Oryctolagus cuniculus: one gene and its partners. The protein of the gene in region 2 purifies or fractionates together with the protein of the main gene of each other region. This does not show direct contact. Links are inferred from orthologs where the notes say so. Each region holds a gene or a part of one and is shown on either strand. Other genes may lie near its edges.

The links.
Region 1: the proteins of CDK5 (region 2) and CCT3 purify together in Homo sapiens (affinity purification with mass spectrometry; 3 studies listed by BioGRID and IntAct, with this or other methods). This does not show direct contact. The link is inferred for Oryctolagus cuniculus from reciprocal best matches to the Homo sapiens genes CDK5 and CCT3.
Region 3: the proteins of CDK5 (region 2) and CABLES2 purify together in Homo sapiens (affinity purification with mass spectrometry; 6 studies listed by BioGRID and IntAct, with this or other methods). This does not show direct contact. The link is inferred for Oryctolagus cuniculus from reciprocal best matches to the Homo sapiens genes CDK5 and CABLES2.

Annotation. Positions count from the first base shown.
Region 1 is NC_091438.1:42,394,646-42,398,386, reverse strand, and holds the start of CCT3 (T-complex protein 1 subunit gamma), read right to left. Parts: upstream 2,328-3,741; 5' UTR 2,013-2,327; coding exon 1,982-2,012; intron 178-1,981; coding exon 116-177; intron 1-115. Other genes in the region: TSACC (TSSK6-activating co-chaperone protein), read left to right, coding at 2,377-2,395, 3,224-3,283. UniProt on the Homo sapiens protein: Component of the chaperonin-containing T-complex (TRiC), a molecular chaperone complex that assists the folding of actin, tubulin and other proteins upon ATP hydrolysis.
Region 2 is NC_091438.1:22,759,311-22,763,051, forward strand, and holds the start of CDK5 (cyclin-dependent kinase 5), read left to right. Parts: upstream 1-1,141; 5' UTR 1,142-1,258; coding exon 1,259-1,295; intron 1,296-1,900; coding exon 1,901-1,989; intron 1,990-2,075; coding exon 2,076-2,143; intron 2,144-2,251; coding exon 2,252-2,312; intron 2,313-2,416; coding exon 2,417-2,473; intron 2,474-3,122; coding exon 3,123-3,218; intron 3,219-3,313; coding exon 3,314-3,388; intron 3,389-3,558; coding exon 3,559-3,655; intron 3,656-3,741. UniProt on the Homo sapiens protein: Proline-directed serine/threonine-protein kinase essential for neuronal cell cycle arrest and differentiation and may be involved in apoptotic cell death in neuronal diseases by triggering abortive cell cycle re-entry. Interacts with D1 and D3-type G1 cyclins.
Region 3 is NC_091442.1:1,014,144-1,017,884, reverse strand, and holds the start of CABLES2 (CDK5 and ABL1 enzyme substrate 2), read right to left. Parts: upstream 2,755-3,741; 5' UTR 2,739-2,754; coding exon 2,365-2,738; intron 1-2,364. UniProt on the Homo sapiens protein: Unknown. Probably involved in G1-S cell cycle transition.

The DNA of each region.
Region 1 (3,741 bases), about 20 Mb from region 2:
AAAAAAAAAAAAAAAAGTATAGATTCACCAGAAACTTACTGCTACAAGCAAATACAGAAATAGGAGGGAAGACAGCTGGAGGCAGACAACCACAGACACGTAGAAGACATGCTACCTTGGCAGCATTGATGTTTCCAGACTGAACTTTTCTTCCAGATTCACGTTTTGTGTTCTGGCCTAAAACAGGTAAAAACAATGTTAAGAGCCCAGGAGTGCCCCAGTGTACACGAGCTAGAAAATGAAAATAAGCACACGGAGTTCACCATGTAGACACAGAACAAAGCTCATCGAATGGCACATCTTAAATATGTGCAGTTTCTGTCAATTAGACCTCAGCAAACTGACAAGTATACACACTTGCGGCTATTTAGCGGCTATTTACTTGTTTATTTCAATCCCGGGCGCACTAAGGAATAACCCATCATGCTCCCTCCAACTCTGGAAGCTTGGTCAACACGTTCCTCCCAAGCATCCACCTATTTCCAGCAGGGATTCATAACCTAAGACCCACGGATAGGTCTCTGGGGTGGTGAACTCCCTGAGGTTCTGTGAGAGGAAAGGAGAGGCAGCAGGGCTTTTCCTGGCAACAGAATCCACAGCTATGATGAGGTCCCCAAAGGGCTGGCAACCCCAAGGAAGTACCAAGCACTGCTTCTCGTAAAGAGGCAAAGAGCTCTGGGGTCCTTTCTTCCAGCGTGGAGCGGGGGAACTGCACTCTGACAGCACATTACAACGTGCTGGGCAGTGAGAGCCAATCTGTGGTGATAAGAACACTTTCTTTAAAGGTGTCTCAGCCTGCAGGACAAATTATAGTTGTCCCCTTATCATCAGTAAGAGCTAACTACATATTTTAATAGGGAGCCTAACTGGTTACAACCACTAACGCCAGGGATTAACCCAGACCTGTCAAGAGCTTTACAAATGCACACCACTCACCCAGGCCCAGTGGCTGTCACCACCCGACATCATGCTTACCCCCCACCCCCAAACTATACCTTCCCCTACAACTTAAGTCTGTAATCTTTCCATCTAGTCCCATCAAATGTGAACATCCATTTAACATTTCCATGCTCACTCTGCGTAACCAAGACCTTATAGGGACCCACAGCCCATAAGAAAAAAATAGGATTTTTTTTCTCCTTAAGTTATTTCTCAGGTATAGAGAAAAAGAAGGAAAACTCTGTCAACAAAAGGTAAGGGAGAGGATCCTAGGCGGTCCTGCAGATGGGGGGGTGTGGGTGGGGGGGGGCATCAGTGACACACAGCGCGGAAACCTGCCGAGTAGGGCAGAAAACCGAGGTGGAGACCCTCAGGCAGACATAAACGGGACACTCCCAAAAGGGGGGCGGGAACCAGTGGAGACTAGAGAACTCGGTCAGCGGGAACCATCGCACCCTCTTCGCCCCGCGAGGGAGGCAGGGTTACAGCCGAACACGGGCTGTGCTTAAAAGAAACGTGAAGTGACCAAGGATGCCACCCGCTATCTGCCAGACCCTCACCTAAGCCGTCTGCCAGGAGATACTACTAACCCCGCGACCCAGGCGGAAACGCTTGCGTGGAGTAAGCTGCTCGAGGTCACGCTGCTACTTAAGGGATGAGCCAAGGATACAAGGCCAGGCCGGACCCCCCCACCCCGCAAAAAAAAGCACCACTCATTGAACCACTCGGTGAAACCATGATGGAAAGGGTGCAGAGGCGTGGAGCGGGGTCGGGCGCGGGAGGCGAGCACGGAGAGGGGGCTTCCCGAGACCCGCACACGTGAAGACCAGGGCCTCGGCGTCGGGAAGGTCAGTTTCCGTTAGGGAAGAGAGGCGAGCGCCAGGGAGAGAGGGGAGCGGACGAAGGGGCTTCCAAAATGAAGACGATGACCGGAAAGCTCGGTGGCTGGGTCAGGGCGGAACCCGGCGGGGGGAGCCCCGAAAAAAGTGCGGAGGGAGGCGGGCGAAAAAGGGGTCTCTTCCCCAGCTGCCCCAAAACTCACTGAGCACGAGCACGGGACGATGGCCCATCATGGCGGCGCGATGGAGAGCCGGGCACCCAGAGCTGAAAGAACCGGCAGAACCTTCTGGAGAGCGAGAAGCTGAGAGAAGCCCAGAAAACGCTGCCTCCCCGGGGCTTACACCTAAACCCGCTACCTTGCGGGTCGCCTCCAATCACCGCATCTATCTCATTGACCGGCATGAAAACAGGCCAATCGACAGCCTTGGCCCCGCCCCCTACGCAGGAACGGCAGGGCAAGCTAGATAGAGAGAGCGCGATGATGGCAATAGGCAGGCATAGGCGCTTGCGCAACAGGGTGGCCGCTCCCGACCGCGTGCGGCGCGAACAACGGCGCAGGCGCTGAGGCTCGGGCCGTTGGCCCGCATACTACGGAGCATGCGTATCAACTACAGGGGTGGGTGCTGGGGTTGAGGCTTTCGACTAACACCGCAGGTGAAGTCATTAAAAATGTGTGCTACCCCGTGGCGTCTGTCAGACAGTGAAGGTCAAGAAAGGCTTGAGGGTTCCCACTTTCTTCCTCCAGCCTTATCAACAGGGAGGAACAGCAGGGAGGCGGAGGGCAGAGCGGGCCGGTTTGATGAAGGGTGATGTGGGAGTTGTAGTCCTGTTGGCGCCGGGCGGGGCCCACGGTCCTTTTTCTAGGCACGCTGGGAATTGTAGTTTATCTCCTCTTAAGACGCGTGGCTGTGCTTTGGACCTTGCCTTTCTTGGGCAAATGCCTTTGATTGAGGCTGCCATCGGGACCAGAGCGTGGTGGCTTGTGTTTCATCCTATTTAAAACATTTTCTCAAGTAGTGCTTTGAGATTTTTCTTTCCCCATCCCGATGCCTGCCCTGTCCTCATTGGACCCTGGTCCTCCAGAGACAATGGGGGGAACCCGAGTTTTTAAATGACTGTGCTGGACAAGGAAAGGACTGAATACAATGGAAATTAAATCTGTAAAGAACACGGAGAACCATTCCCCGATCGTAGGAAACTCGAGGTTCGAGTTGGATTAAATTACTATTTTCCAGGAAAAATTGAAATAATTTTTCCCAATTAGCGAAGGGACTAAGAGCATAAACCATTCCAGTCACTTTTATTGGGGCATGAAATAAAATACGCCGTTCACACGTCTTCCTCGGCAAACTGGAGCAGCTGGCTCTGCTGGAGAGAGCTTGGGAAAGTCAGCAGGCAGAGTCGCGAGGGTGTTTGACGATGCGATGCTGTGATTCTCCCACAGGCCCCACACCTGTTGGTGTTCAGATGGAGCAGTCCACTAGTCACCCGCCAGACGGAAAAGGTGCGTGTCCCAGGCCCTTGCTCCCCTCCCTGGCCACTTAGCGTTTGGGGAGGTGATTCTAGGCTTATGGGTGCCAGGCGTATGTTCCGTGGTTAGTTGGGAAGTATAAATGGGAACTTTGCTGTGTTCCAAGTGCCTAGCACTGGATCTGTTAAATAACAGAAGCTCAATAATTGCATATTGCATGAATGTATTCTTCCTTGGTATCTCCTCTTGATACCTGGAACAAGACTTTGTATGTGGGTATCTCAGTTGAAGTGGGACAGTCCCGCCAGTGGTCCAGGAGCTGCCCAAGGCTGTCTCCGTAACTGTAGGTAGAGTGGCTCACTTTATCTGAGAAACTGCTTTGTCAGGGCTTGGACAGGAATTAACCAGCTCTTCTCGTGGAGTATATGGTGCAGTAGTAAGGAGCATGATTTTGCAGTCTACAGGCCCAGGTTTTGGGTTTTTTAAAGATT
Region 2 (3,741 bases):
AGTTGACCTAGGACCGGTCACTTTCAGGGACACAAACGCCTCGCGGCGGCCCCCTCCTCGTCCTTGCTACCTCCCACCCTGAATCGAGTCCTGTTCTTTTAAAGAACTTGTGTGCCATCTTGTTTTCTCAATTAAAAATGCGTTTAGGTAAGGATTATATACTTTTTTGTTTTTTTAGTCTGCCACGTGGGTGAAGCACAGCATTGTGTATGCGAAAGCATTCTGATATAAAGGAATTAATCCACAAATTGTCAGCACCAGTTCTGGTTCCTGGCTGCGGAGTGCTATTTGGGGCTGTTTTCGTCCAGTTCACAGCCCGGAAGAATGCAATCATGAGACAATTAGAGAGCAGCACAGGAAAATCTATAATCAACTGCCGTAAGGGATGAGGTAAAGGCTGCTGTAAGTGTAGCATCTGTCTGTGGTCTTGTCTGTAGAGGGGGTAACCAACCTGTCAGCCCTCGTGGGCCACACCCTTACTGCCTCCAGTGGGCTCTGCTCGGAAGACTGGGATCTGGGGGGACTCCCAGGGCTCCAGCCGGCTCGCCTCATCATGGGCTCCGAGACGACAGATGAGGTCCAGCAGAGGGAGAAGTCACCCTTCCAATCCAGCCAGAAATGGCAAACACCTGCCTCTACCCAGCCCTGGGGTCAGCTGGTCCCTGTGAGGTCATCGTTCCTATTCCCCAATCAACCTTGAGGTCACTGGGAGGCCTGGGGCGAGGTGGAAACCCGCGCTGAGGTCGCTCGGAACTCATCATCACCAACCAGGTCAGAGCTGAGCCACTAGGTCCCGGATCTGGGCCGCCAGACCTCAACCCGAGGGCGCCCTACCCCCACCCCGCCGCATTCTGGAACGCGTAGTCCCAGAGCGACCCTTTTCAAGAAGGCACACAGAAAAGGAGTAACAAGAGCGGGGCACACTGGGAACCGTGGCGTCACGGTGGGGACGCCCAAGGAGCGGACGCGTGATGCTTTCTGGGACTTGGAGTCCAGGGTTTGCCTCCGCGGTCGAACCGGAGTCCCGGGAGTCGAGTGCTGCAGAGGACCTTAGCGCAGCCTGCTGGGGGCTGTAGTCCTCTTGCCCGAGTCTCCGGACACCGCTGGGAAACCTGGCCGTCCTAGGACTACAAGCCCCAGAAGGCCATGCGCAGACAGGAGGCGGGGCGGGGCCGGAGGCTGGGGTGCCGCCTCCTCTGCAACGCCGGGGCCGGAGTCTTAGAACCCAGGGCCCGCAGGGGTCCCCGCGGCTGCCGTGATGCAGAAATACGAGAAGCTGGAGAAGATTGGGGAAGGTAATAGAACCACGAGATGTTCCTGCAAGATCTTCTTCTGCAGACCCTTCGGGATTCCTTGCAGCCTAGGCTCTCCCGTAGTCTGCGGTACCTGCAGGCTCCGACCTCAGCACTGGCTTGCAGCCCTGGCCCCCAAGCTCAGCACTCCGTGCAGACACCAGCCCTGCCCGTGTTAGCATTCTCCGCGGACTCCCACTCCCAACGTTAGCCTCCCTGTGGAGCCGACCTCCCAGCCGCGGCACGTCCTGCGTTTCCCACGCCTAGCTTCAGCACCACTTGCACATCCTCACCCGGACCCCAGCAGATCTTCAGCCTTGACATTTCTGCAGGCCCTCAGTTCTCTCCCAGAGTCCTGCTATGGCCAGACCTCCCGGAGTGCCGCCCTTATTAGCGCTGTCCTTACCCTGGCCTCCGGCTCAGACCCTGGAGCCTCAACCTTTAGGCCTTCCCTACCCTGCAGCGTCCTCACTTACAAAGCTCTTGCAAGCCTGCCCCTCACCCTGAAGCCTTTCCCTTACACACTCAAGTGCCCTTCCCCCTCCCCATTTCCTGGGGATGGGGAGGGTGCCGCATCCTCCCCCTCATCTATGACCTCCTCCCCTTAGGCACTTACGGAACAGTGTTCAAGGCCAAAAACCGAGAGACTCACGAAATCGTGGCTCTGAAACGCGTGAGGCTGGATGACGATGACGAGGTAGGACCGGGGACACCAGGGCAGGGAGTGGCAGATGAGGAGGCCTGGGGTGAGTGGGATCTGACTGCTGCTCCCTCGCTGTGCAGGGTGTGCCGAGTTCAGCCCTCCGGGAGATCTGCCTGCTTAAGGAGCTGAAGCACAAGAACATTGTCAGGTGTGGAGGGGGCAGGGGGCCCTGCAGGTGGAGGAGGAGGGGGCTTCAGCCTGGTTGGGGTGGTGCAGACGTGCAGACCTGCCTGGCTCAGCCCTTGCTTCTCCGTAGGCTTCACGATGTCCTGCATAGTGACAAGAAGCTGACTTTGGTTTTTGAGTTCTGTGACCAGGTGAAAGGGGATGGGGGTGGGCTGAAAGGGAGCAGGCTTGGGAGGGTGTGGGGCCCAGACGGAGGTTCACCTCTGTCCTGTTCCCCCGCTGCATCCCTTGACAGGACCTCAAGAAGTATTTTGACAGCTGCAATGGTGACCTCGATCCTGAGATTGTGAAGGTGAGGGGAAGGGTGTTCTGGGGGCTCTTCGGGGCTGGGGTTCCGGTCTGTATGCAGTGTCAGCTCTCCTGTTTAGGCACAAATCAGGGACTTTCTGGGGGGGGGGTGTCAGAGAAAGAGCAAACCTGCTCCTGCCCTCCAGGGGCCTCCGGGCTTAGCCAGCATTTCCACATGGCCTCCTTGGACCTGTATAGTGACACTCTGAGGCCAACGGCTATTTCCACCCAAAGAGCTACACTCATTTAATCAACAAACATTTGCTGAGAGTACTAGGCCCGAGACCAAGTGCCTTGGCCCAGGTTCCAGGGGAGTCAGGTCCTGAACCATCCCAGAGCACAATATCCATGTTGATGGTGACAGACTGTACACTCAGGTCCAGCCAGGTAGGGGAGAGAGGCATGGGCTGGGAAGGCAGAAGGCCTATCGGGCTATAAGGTCTGGAAGGGCAGGGAGCAGAGCCACTTGTTTCCTGCTGTACGGGCTGCAAAGCCAACCCTCGGCAGTGAGTGCATATAGTGTTGTCCTGAGCTTGGTGCTGGGGATTGGGTAGGACATGGAACAAAGCTGAGGGTGAGGCAGGGAGCATGCCCATGGCTGGCATCACCTCGTAGCCAGGGTGTCTGACTCTGTCCCCTCTGCCCCTCTCTAGTCATTCCTCTTCCAGCTGCTGAAAGGCCTGGGATTCTGTCACAGCCGCAACGTGCTGCACAGAGACCTAAAGCCCCAGAACCTGCTCATAAACAGGGTACTGCTCAGGGGAGAAGGGGAGGGCAGGGGGCAGGAGCCTGCCCTGAGACGTTTAACAGCCCCGTGCCGTGCCTCCCTCCCGTCTCCCCCCAGAATGGGGAACTGAAATTGGCCGATTTCGGCTTGGCTCGAGCCTTTGGGATTCCTGTCCGCTGTTACTCAGCTGAGGTGAGCTGGGGGGTGGGATTTGGAGTTGAGGGGAGCAGTCCCTGGTGTTTTTCAGCTCCTGCTCCATGACCAACCCGAGACAGTGCCCTCTCTTCTCTGAGCTCCCCTCTCCACCCTCCGTCCCAGCCCTCTAAACGGGAGGGCGTCCCTGTGGGTGGGGTCTTCTCCAGGTGGTCACGCTGTGGTACCGCCCACCGGATGTCCTCTTTGGGGCCAAGCTGTACTCCACGTCCATCGACATGTGGTCAGCCGGCTGCATCTTCGCAGGTGACGTGCTGGGGCGGCTCTGCTCTTTCTCCCCAATCTGGGTTGACAAACAGGGTCTGGAGGGTGCCCTCTCGGGGAAGGGAGTA
Region 3 (3,741 bases), on a different chromosome or scaffold from region 2:
ATGGACGGGCACTCGGGGACGCCCAGTGGGGTGGACGGGTGCTCGGGGACACCCAGTGGGATGGACGGGCGCTCGGGGACGCCCAGTGGGATGGACGGGCGCTCGGGGACGCCCAGTGGGGTGGATGGGCGCTCGGGGACGCCCAGTGGGACGGACGGGCACTCGGGGACGCCCAGTGGGATGGACGGGCACTCGGGGATGCCCAGTGACTCCTGGGCGCTCCTACGGCCGCAGCCGTGTCCTCCTCGGAGACTGTGCAGCCCAGCCCTCTCGCCTCCCGGCTGCGCCCCTGCGCTGTGCGTGGCCACACGTGGCTGAGTGTGCGGTCACTCACCGTGCAGATGTCACCTTGTCCCTGTTAGTGCTGTGGCTGAACCGCGTCCTCCAAAAAGACAGGCGGAGGCCCTGACCCCAGTATGTGTGCACGGCCCACGTCTGGAGGCGGGGCCTCAGCGGGGGTGCAGAGCAGGATGTGGTGCGGGGGGCCGCTAAGGCACTGACCAGTGCCTGAGGAAAACAGACACGGGGCAGACGTCCCACGGAAGGGACACGGCCTGGAGGACGTCCCCACGCTGCACTGGGAGCGCCGCCTTCGACGCGGGGACCTGACGCTGGTCTCCAGGACCGGGCGAGGACCCGTGGTCAGCGGTCTGCAGGCTCCTGAGTCACACACGGGCCCCCAGGGAGAGACAGCAGCCCGGGAGCAGGGCAGAGCACCGGCCGTGAGGCCCGGCCCACCCCAGACCCGGCCTGCTCTCGGGCTGTGGCACAGTCGGCTAAGCCTCTGCCTGCAGTGCCGGCATCCCATATGGGCGCCGGTGCGAGTCCCGGCTGCTCCACTTCCGATCCAGCTCTCTGCTGTGGCCTGGGAAAGCAGTGGAGGATGGCCCGGGTCCTTGGGCCCTGCACCCACGTGGGAGTCCTGGAGGAAGCTCCTGGCTCCGGTTTGGCACAGCTCTGGCTGTTGCACTCATCTGGGGAGTGACCCAGCGGATGGAAGACCTCTCTCTCTCTCTCTCTCTCTCTCTCTAACCCTGACTTTCAAATAAATTAAAAAAAAAAAAAAATGGAGGCAAGTAGTGTCAGAGGGTCCATGGAAGTCAGGACGCCTGGGTGGAGACTGTTCCTGGTTCCGCAGAACACGCCACATGCGAGACAGAGCCTCACGGCCAGAGACCAACGCCCGGCCGGGAGGAAGTGCCCAAGGCAAACCCGGCTCACACAGTGGGGTCACACAGTGGGGCTCACAGAGCAGAGGCCCCGGCCAGTCAGCTGCTCAAGGCCACAGGGCTGTGAGTGGTGAAGCAGGATTTGAACCCGGGCCTGCACCCAGCACGGCCCCCAGCACGGCCCCCAGCACAGCCCCCGTCACGGCCCCCGTCACGGCCCCGTCAGTCACGGCCCCGTCAGTCACGACGGCCCCGTCCCCCGGGAGCGGGCTCGTCCCCCAGGAGTGCCGTGCCGTGCGGGGCAAGCACACGGGCGCGGCAGCCACATCCCGAAGGCTGTGCGCGGTCCCGCGGCGGGGGTCTGGCCCCCGTCTGGCCAGGCAGCGGCGGGCGGGGCCTGGGAGCCAAGGCCAGGCGGGGCAGGACCCCCGCGAGCGCTGTGCTCTGGACGCGGCCGCCCCCAGCCCCTGGCTGCCACGCCAGGACGGCCAGTGCGGCCAATGACCTCCAGGTGAGGACAGCGCCCCTGCAACCCAGGGAGGGGCCACCGAGAGGCCTCTCCCTGGCTCGGTCTGCGCCGTGACCCCGGGCTGCGGGGTCAGCAGGCCCAGAGCGACCTGGAAGGGCACGGGCGCCTGTCCGCCAGGCCCCTCTGGCCAGGGCCATGTGCTGCAGGGCCAGCCCCAGGACGCTGGCCGCGGTGGGCACTGGGGGTCCCGCGCAGTGCGGAGGGCAGAGGAACGGCATGGGGAAGACCCCGGCCCACGAGGTGCAAATGCAGAGGGGCACACGGAGGGGGGGCCAGACTCCAGGGCAGGGGCCAAGCGCGTGGGGGAGGGGCAGTGCTGAGAGCTGCCGCACCTGTGTCCGGGCGTCTCCAGGTGGGGCTCAGAGCTAAGGGCGCCCCCGGCCCTATGTCTGCAGCCGGCAGCCCCAGGGCACCCCAACTCCGTCCAGGGCTCAGAAGGCCTCAGGCGGCCCCAAACCCCGAGCCCGGGGCTAACAGGTCCCCGGGTCACCCCAACCCCTGTGTCCGCCCTCACGGCCGGGTCGGCCCACCTCGGTGTTCTAGGCTGACGGGCTCCCGGGCCACCTCACTCCCTCGCCTTGGGGTGACAGGGCGCCAGGCCACCCGCACCCCCTGGGCCCTCGACCCCCGGGTCCGGGGCTGCCCCGCCCTCCGGCCCCCACTCACCTCTGGCGCGGCCCGTCCAGCCCCAGGCCGGCGGGGGCCTGCGTGGGGCTGAGGAGGCCCTGGGGCGCGGGGGTCCTGGCAGGCAGCCCGGGGAGGCCGGCGGGCGGCGCGGGCGGCGGCGCGGGCGGCTCGCGGGCCTCGGCGGGCGGCGGCAGCGGCGGCGGCGGCGGCGGGGGCTTCTCGCCGCCCGGGCCCAGGCTGGGCGGCCGCCCGTCCAGGGAGATGTTGTTGAGGAAGAAGAGCGCGGCCTGGCGGCGCCGCGAGTCCCCGCGCCTCCGCAGCGCCGGCGGCGGGTTCCGGGCGGCCGGGGCCGGCGGCGCCGCGGCGGGGCCGGGGGCCGGGCCCGGGGCTCCACCCGCCGCGGCCGCGGCCATCCTGCGAGTGAGCCGCCCGCGCCGCCGCCCGCCGCCCATTGGCCGCGGAGCGCCCGCATGCAAATGCCTCCTCGGCGCGCCCGCCCATTGGCCAGCGCGGCCGCGGCCGCCCCTCGAGCGTGCCGCCTGCTTCCCATTGGCGGCGGCGCGCCCGTATGTAAATCTACCTCCGGCGCGCCCGCCCATTGGCCACCACTGCCGCGGCGGGCGCCGTGCCAGCGGGCGCTCCCCTGGGTCTTAGAGGGAGTTGGGGCTCGGCCCCGGGGAGCCGGAAGCCGCCCAGGGCAGCGAGCGGTTGCGCGGGTTCAGATCCCGCCTCGAGAGCTGCGGGGGCGCCGGGCTGTGGCGTGCGCGGTGTGCCTCCCCGTTTGCGGCGTGGGCAGGCCCCAGCCTGGGGGACGTCGGTGTGCCTCGGTGTCCTCCCGTGAGCGTGGCGGGCGTGGGTCGGTAACCCCCCCTTGCCACCGGCTTCCCTCGTTCGCTTAGAAGAGCCAGGGTCTGAGGGGAGTGGGCGGCTGCCCAGGCTTCCCGCCTACACCTGCGCCGGCGCCCACCTGTGTCTGCTTGCAGCCTGTGTCACTCACAGTGGGGACGGCCACTGCCACCTGGGGCTGTCGTCGGGTGCAGCTGGCTCTGGCTGCGGGGTTTGCCCGCACAGGAGGGCTGGGCAGCCCCGGTGGTGGTCACTGCACACCTCTGCCATGCTGGGGGCCAGGGACTGGCCCTGGGGGGTGTGGGCGGCAGCAGCTGCAGGCCACGGGGGAGGTGGGGGGGGACACTTTCCTGAGCCACCTCCCGCCTTGGCAGCCCCCTCCCTCGGTGACCAGCCGGGGTCCAGTCTCGTCTGCTTTCCTCTCTGCTCCTCCAACTGGCCTTTGAGGCCTCTGGCCGGTCCCGGACGGCTTGTGGAGGGCAGGGCTGGGGCTGGAGTAGCTATGCGCGGGTCCAGTCCACGCTTTCTGGCTGCCACTTCCCAGGTGACCGCAGGCGAGTACCTGCTTCC